Danio rerio: one gene and its partner. The protein of the gene in region 2 interacts with the protein of the main gene of each other region in a biochemical or structural test. Links are inferred from orthologs where the notes say so. Each region holds a gene or a part of one and is shown on either strand. Other genes may lie near its edges.

What was found.
Region 1: of the proteins of pias4a (region 2) and top2a, one has a biochemical effect on the other in vitro, tested with the Homo sapiens proteins (2 studies listed by BioGRID). The link is inferred for Danio rerio from reciprocal best matches to the Homo sapiens genes PIAS4 and TOP2A.

What each region holds. Positions count from the first base shown.
Region 1 is NC_133187.1:11,266,632-11,270,459, forward strand, and holds part of top2a (DNA topoisomerase 2-alpha), read left to right. Parts: coding exon 1-50; intron 51-1,385; coding exon 1,386-1,487; intron 1,488-1,582; coding exon 1,583-1,720; intron 1,721-2,637; coding exon 2,638-2,776; intron 2,777-2,859; coding exon 2,860-3,017; intron 3,018-3,828. UniProt on the Homo sapiens protein: Key decatenating enzyme that alters DNA topology by binding to two double-stranded DNA molecules, generating a double-stranded break in one of the strands, passing the intact strand through the broken strand, and religating the broken strand.
Region 2 is NC_133197.1:20,264,298-20,268,125, reverse strand, and holds part of pias4a (E3 SUMO-protein ligase PIAS4-A), read left to right. Parts: intron 1-2,672; coding exon 2,673-2,714; intron 2,715-2,803; coding exon 2,804-2,894; intron 2,895-3,053; coding exon 3,054-3,182; intron 3,183-3,271; coding exon 3,272-3,377; intron 3,378-3,828.

The DNA of each region.
Region 1 (3,828 bases), on a different chromosome or scaffold from region 2:
AAAAAGGGTTCCAGCAAGTCAGCTTTGTTAACAGCATCGCCACAACTAAGGTAATCATAGTGTCTGTGGGGTCTTAAAAAGTATTAAAAGTTGATCAATAATGAGAAAATTAAGGCTTTTAAAAGGTGTTAAAGTCTTAATCAGGTTTTAATGAGGTCTTAAATTTTGTTCAAGCGTTGTCTAAAGTGTTTAACTCCAAAAAAGCATAAATGTATTCATTTTCCTTGATCCTTGCAATTGGTTTGAGCCAAGGCACGTTTAGCCAAGCTCCTCCATTCGGGTGACGTCATGTAATTTGCGGCAAACATGGAAAGGTGACGTGACACTTTCCACATATAGCGAACCCATAGAGTGGAACAGATAGCAAAATGGGAAAATGTAAGTTTGAGTACTTCTGATTTGAGAAAGATGGGTTTAAACAGTGGCTGAAGCCTGTCGCCAACAAAACAATCACGTTTGTTTCTTCCAGGCTTCTCTGAGTTTTGTTACACGGTTGTGCTTCATTGATTTATTGAACTACAACTGTTTATTAATATCTGTTTATTAAGGTCAAAGTTTAATATGGATTAGGACTTAGTGGCAATGAAGTCTTAATATATTCTAAGAAGGTCTTTAAAAAGTCTTAAAAAGGTATTAAAATTAACTTAAGGATTGCTGCATATACCCTGGTAATGTATTCAGATGAATAAACAGCCTTTTCAAAACTGTTCAAAAATGTTTTTTTAATAAATCTTCAATCAAACAGATGCGTCACATATTCTAAACCAGATCTATTGATTATTTAATGTCTACAAAATATAATGTAGTGTGTAAAGTTTTTTTGAATTCTTTTATTTGCTAGCAGTGGTTGGAAGGGAGGGATTTTAGCGTATCTTGCCTAAGCTGTCAATCATCTGACAAGAAATGCCATTATAAAGTGAAAGCAAATGTGTAGAATATGTATAAGATAATGTAAGTTGTATAAAGTTAGCTTTTTTTTGTAGATTTGGTGACTTTAATTTAAAAATGTATTAACATAAATAATAATTGGGTAAGCTAAAAGTGTCTGTAGTGTATATGTGTGAATGAGGGTATGAGTGTTTCCCAACGATGGGTTGCAGCTGGAAGGGCATTCACTGCGTAAAAACATGCTGGATAAGTTAGTGGTTCATTCCGCTGTGGCGACTCCAGATTATTAAAGGGACAAGCTGAAAAAAAAATGAATAAATGAATTAACATAAATATTTAATAAGGTACATGCATACAGTAAAGTTTCGTTGTGACAAACCAAGTCAATTTTCATTTTAAAAAGTCAAAAGCCAAGTTTCTTTCAGTTCAGTTTTAAAGCAGCCCTACACAAATCGTTTTTCAGCTTCATTTGGTCATTAAAATGCTGTGTGTTTCAGGGTGGCAGACACACAGACTATGTTGCAGATCAGATTGTGTCCAAACTGATTGAAGTAGTGAAAAAGAAGAACAAGGCTGGAGTAGCCGTCAAACCTTTCCAGGTACATTCAGATGTTCTGCAAACTGCATCAAATAGTATTGCCTTCTCATGGCATTCTAAATTAATCACCATGTGCTGGTTTAACTTTGTGTGCAGGTCAAGAACCATATGTGGTTGTTTGTGAACTGTCTGATAGAGAACCCCAGCTTTGACTCCCAGACGAAAGAGAATATGACCTTGCAGCAGAAGAATTTTGGTTCTGCCTGCTCTCTGAGTGACAAGTTTGTTAAGCAGGTAAGAACTGATTTCTCGATCATTCATTGCTGTAAAAAATCATGGCATAATGGGTGAGAGTTTAGAGTTAATATAAATATGTTAGACGTATTTTACTGGTTAGTGCATGTTACTTGAGTTTTTTCAACACATTATTACCATAAAACAAAGAGAATGGGATTTACATGCAAAACAAACTTGACAAAATTACCCTTAATGTTAGAAAAGATTTCAACAAATTCTCCAACCAGTGGAACCAGTGGTTTCTCCCACATGCTCTTATTTGTAAAATCATTTTAACTATCAAGCATGTTTTATTTGAGTGTGTTGGCTTTACTTCAGTGAGGAAGGTATTTCATTTAGTTCATTTATTTGAAGTATACATTTTTAGCAACTTTTATAGTTTTAGCAAAAATAGTGTAAAACCTTAATGTAATCAACAACTCCAGCATACTTTTTCTCACCATAAAAATGGCCATGGAAGGTGAAGTGGTGTTTTAACATAACAAATCTTACCATCAATCTCTTAATAGCCTATTAGTTATATATTTAACAACCCAAAAACCTTAATACTGTTGTGTTTTGTTTCTCACTTAATGTATTCACTTTATATTGCAATGCATTAACAATTAATTGCAATTTAATTACTCAACTTTGTATCACTAAATCAGGGTTTTGCTAATGGTGGTTAAAGATATGTTTAAGTTGCAGTCAATTTGTCAACAGTGAAGTCATGACTTAAAATCAGAAAGACTTTCATTTGATCAGCTCAATAAATTTGTAATACTTGAATATGTCAAATATGTGTAGAACTTTTTTTGCTCTGCCACAAATCTTCCAGTTATGATTCCTGTATGACTGCCCTTGGATTTTGACTACTGTTAGTGCAATTGAACTTTTAAAGCTCTAATAAAATCCTAATCCATCTATGTCTGCAGGCTAATGGGTGTGGAATTGTGGAAAGCATTATGAACTGGGTGAAGTTTAAAGCCCAGGCTCAGCTCAATAAGAAATGCTCAGCTGTCAAACACACGAAGATTAAAGGAGTACCTAAGCTGGATGATGCCAACGATGCAGGTAACAAGAGGTTTGTTGTAATGTTAAATGGTCACGACACCTTCAGCCTGGATGTTCATTGCCGGGTGCTTTGTTTGTTTTAGGTGGAAAGAACTCCAATAGCTGCACTCTAATCCTGACCGAAGGAGACTCGGCCAAAACTCTGGCCGTGTCGGGTCTGGGTGTTGTGGGACGTGATCGATATGGTGTCTTCCCTCTGCGTGGTAAAATGCTCAACGTTCGAGAAGCTTCACACAAACAGGTCAATGACTAAAAATTAATCACTTTCATTTTTAGTTACATACCCCACAAAAGTTATTGAGAGAGAGAGCAAGAAAAAGAGGGGTTCCTTTCAGAAGAATTCCTCCATATGCCCTAATCCCTTTGTAGGATCCCTTTTGAAGGAACTGGAGCCCTTCCAAATTTAATGCAGTGTGCGACTCTAAACAACTTCCCTCCTCAAAGAATCATGTGGGCCAATGTATCTATCAGTTGTATTTTTCAAAAACACCAAATCCAGCACTTAGAAGTGGCCATTTTTGAGCACTTCAGTTTTGAACGACATTTCGGAGGGGTAATTCTATCGCCTTTTGGATGGCACTGTTTGTAAAACACTCATGCCATCAGGCTCACTTCGCTTATGGCTCTCTTACGCCACCCCTACACTATTCACCGATGCCAAGCTGACCAATTACAGATCTTACGCTACATGTCTCTTTGTGTACTTAATTTTTTGAGAGATGTGGCATAACGTATGGCTAAGGGTGTGCGATTGTTTAAAGATTGCGCTTCACTCTGTGCAGAACTATGAATTAGCCTTAAGCAGTGTACCATGGTCTTTTACTTAGCAAATTATAAATTTGAGACCAGCAATAATCAAACTGTCTATAATAATGTCGAATTAGACATTCTAGGTTGGCTCAATTGTATTTACTCAATAACGAAGCACCACCTAAATGTAATTACTGCCAGACTGCTCTTACCCTGAAACATATTTTGTTGGAATATGGAAGTTTGAATACCATTAGACAAACTTGTATAAGGAAAGTACTTTGGACATTTTATAAAGGTGC
Region 2 (3,828 bases):
AAAAATTATAAAGGTAGATAGATATCATGTATATGCCCTGTGTGAAAAAGTGTTTACCCCTTTTAAAACATAATAACTTAACATGAATAGAAGTAGACCAAAAGATCATCAAAAGCTAGACATCATGCAGAAATTCAAAAAACAAATGAGTAAGAAAATGGAGATCTATAAGCCTGGAAAAGGTTATGAAGGCATTTCTAAGGCTTTGGGACTACATTGAACCACAGTGAATCTGCAAATGGCAAAAACATGAAACAGAGGAGAATCTTCTCAGGAGTGTACGGCAGACCAAAATTACCCCAATAGCACAGAGATAATCAAGAGGTCACAAAAGATCCCATAACAATATCCAAAGAACTGCTGGCCTCAGATAGTGTTCATGACTCCACCATAAGAAAGAGATTTGGCAAAAATAGTTTGCACGGTTAAATTCCAATATGAAAACCACTGCTAAACAAAAACATCATAAAGGCTTGTCTTAGTTTTGCCAGAAAACATCTTCATTATCTCCTAAACTTCTGGGAAAATACTTTATGGATTTAAGAGACAAAAGTTGAAATTTTTTAGGAATGTTTGTCACATTATGTGTATCATAAAAGTAACAACGCAATTCAGAAAAAGCACAACTGTAAAATGTGGTGGCTGTGTGATTGTCTGGGCCTATTTAGATGCTTCAGGTCCTGGAAGACTTCCTGTAATAATGATCCAAAGTACACCAGCAAGTCCACTTCTGAATGGCTGAATGAATAACAAAAAGACTTTGGGTTGGCCTAGTCAAAGTCTTGACCTAGGGCTGCTTGATTTTAGGGAAAATCATAATTACGATTATTTTGGTCATAATTGTAATCACAATTATTTAAAACAATTATCAGTTTAAGTCAAAATTATTTGCCCTCCTGTGAATTTTATTTTGAATGAATATTTCAGAAAATATGTTTAACAGAGCAAGGAATTTTAACAGTATTACCTTTTAATATTTTTTTTCGTCTGGAGAAAGGCTTATTTGTTTTATTTTAGCTTGAATAAAAGCAGGTTTAAATATTATTTAACCTATGTTAAGGTCAATATTATTAGCCCCCTTAAGCAATATATATTTTTGATTGTCTGCAGAAGAAACTGTTATACAATGACTTGCCTAATTACCCTAATTAAGTCTTTGAATTACATTTTGAATCTAAATGCTTGTATTTTGAAAAATATCCAATAAAATTTAATGTACTGTCATCAGAGCAAAGATAAAATAAATTGGTCATTAGAAATGAGTTATTTAAACTATTATGTTTAGAAATGGGTTTTAAAAAAAGGATTTTCTTTCCATTTAACAAAAATTGGGGGGAAAGGGTCGCTAATAATTCAGGTGGGCTAATAATTCTGACTTCAACTTTAACTTTCCTCTCTGCTAGGAAAGAATAATAAAAAAAAAAATACAATTGAATAAAAATATGAAACAATCTGTGCTTTAAGCATCTTCAGTCAGAAAAACACTTTAGCTACAAAAGTCCTTCAGTCAAGAGCAGTGAGTGATTATCTCCTTTTGTTGTTTGATTAATAATGATAAAAACAGGCGGCAGCAGGAATATTGCTCGCTGTAACTTTAATGGTTTCTCTTTCACTTGTCTTTTGATTCTTAACTCGTTTGTTTATTACACAAATGAGGGTTAATGTGAATAATCACTAAACACCGCGTTTTGACACCTAGTTGACCATTGAAAGCGCTCTCGTTAAGATGATTTTAGATGTGTGCGCTCTGCTCTTCTCAGTGTGCAAATGCTGACCGATGCGGTCTCGTTCGCGCTTTTAAAAACATGATTCGAATGTATGTCAGTGAACGATGTTAATGCGCGTTAAAAAAAAAAAAGTCATGTAATTTTATTACAAGAGATCATGTGATGATAAAAATGTGTGAATGAACAAACCAGCAGGCTGAGCACATTGTAAAACATCTGAACTGTTGTTTTGGTCATGCAAATGTTAACTTAAAGCACATGCTTTTAGTCATTTTCATGTAAAGCTGAGCTTTGCAGAGCAACAAATGTATACAACTGAAAACGGGGCGGCATATGATGCAACAATTGTTCATCTCGATTAATGTTTTTTTCATAATCATAATCGTAACCGGCTTTTCGATTAATTGCACAGCCCTATCCTGACCTGAATTCAATTGAGATGCTGTGGCATGATTTTTAAAAAGGCGGTTCATGCTCAAACCTTTCGAATATGGCTATATTACTGCTATTCTGTTAAGATGAGCAGGCCAGATTTCCTCCTCAGCACTCTTAACAGGTTATCAACAATGCCTAATTGCAGTTGTTGCTGCCAATTTATTAGGTTCATGAGGCAAACGCTTTTTTCACACAGGGCTATGTAATTTTATATTTAGTTTTCCCTATAATAATTATTGAAAACCTTCATTTGTTTGTTATCTTTGTGTAAAATTTAAGTTTAATCAAACACAAGTGTGACAAACATGCAAAGAAATCAGTAAGGGGAAAACACTTTCACACCACTCTATATGCACATTTTGGGATATTGAATTACAAATAAACTAATTGAGCAAGCATGCAAATTCTTCATTTGTAAATAAATTAATGTGCACTTTATGTAATAAGGAATTGTGTATTTATGACAAATGAAAACACGTTTGCACTCAACCATTTGTTTTATGTGTACAGTGAACTACGGCCAGGGATGAAATCAGTTCAGGTCGTTCTCAGGTAAATAATTTGGCAAAATCCTACCGGTAAATCAACTTTTAGTGTCAGAGGCATTTACTGCACACTAACATGCTCTTTTCTTCTCCCAGAATTTGCTACACAGACTCTATCGGCGTTCAGGAGGACCAGTATCCTCCCAATATTGCTGTGAAAGTGAATCAGTCCTACTGTCATGTACCGGTAAGTGTTGTGAATCTGATTAGGCTGTAAGAGAGAGGAATGTTTTACAGATTTGGATGATCGTAAATCTGAACTCTTTATATAAATAACTTTTGTTTTTAGCATTTCTCATAATCGCATTCAAAATGTTTTGCTGTAAATGTGTTTATTTTGGTTCAGGGTTACTATCCCTCTAATAAACCGGGTGTGGAGCCGCGGCGGCCCTGTCGACCTGTCAACATCACACCCTGGTTACACCTCTCCACAGTCACTAACAGAGTTACCATCACATGGGGAAACTTTGGGAAGGTATGAAGATGTGTTGATTATTCACATTTGTGTTTAGATGCTTGCGCTGTTGCTGACTGTGGTGTTTTTATTGTTTTGTTTTTTTGAAGCGATACTCAGTGGCAGTGTACCTAGTGAGAGTGTTCACATCTGGAGAGCTCTTCAACCAGCTGAAGCATTGTTCAGTGGAAAATCCTGATCGTTGTCGTGAAAGAAGTATGTTTTATTGCCTTGATATAATATATTGTTTCATCATCAGAGGTTAAATAAGAGTTACAATTTTTTTAGAACTCAAACACCTATCTATTGCACCTTTGGACAGACACTTAATGTTATTAATCTATTAAATGATTTTTAGGTTAACAAGTCTTAAGGTGTTTTGTCTTTAATCTAATTCCAACATTTTTCTTTAACTTCGATTTATTGGAATATAGTGGCATAAATGTCATTTTTGAAACTTGTTTTTATGACAGATTGAAACATGGATTACATAAAAACTTTGCTAACAGGTTTAGTAAAGGATAAATTAATATAAAGGTTAAATGGATAGTTCACCTCAGAATGAAATTGTCATTTTCAGGAAATCTTCTTTTGTGTTGAACAGAAGAAAGTCTTGAAGATTTAAAACCACAAGAGGGAGGGTAATTGATGTCGTAATTTTTATTTT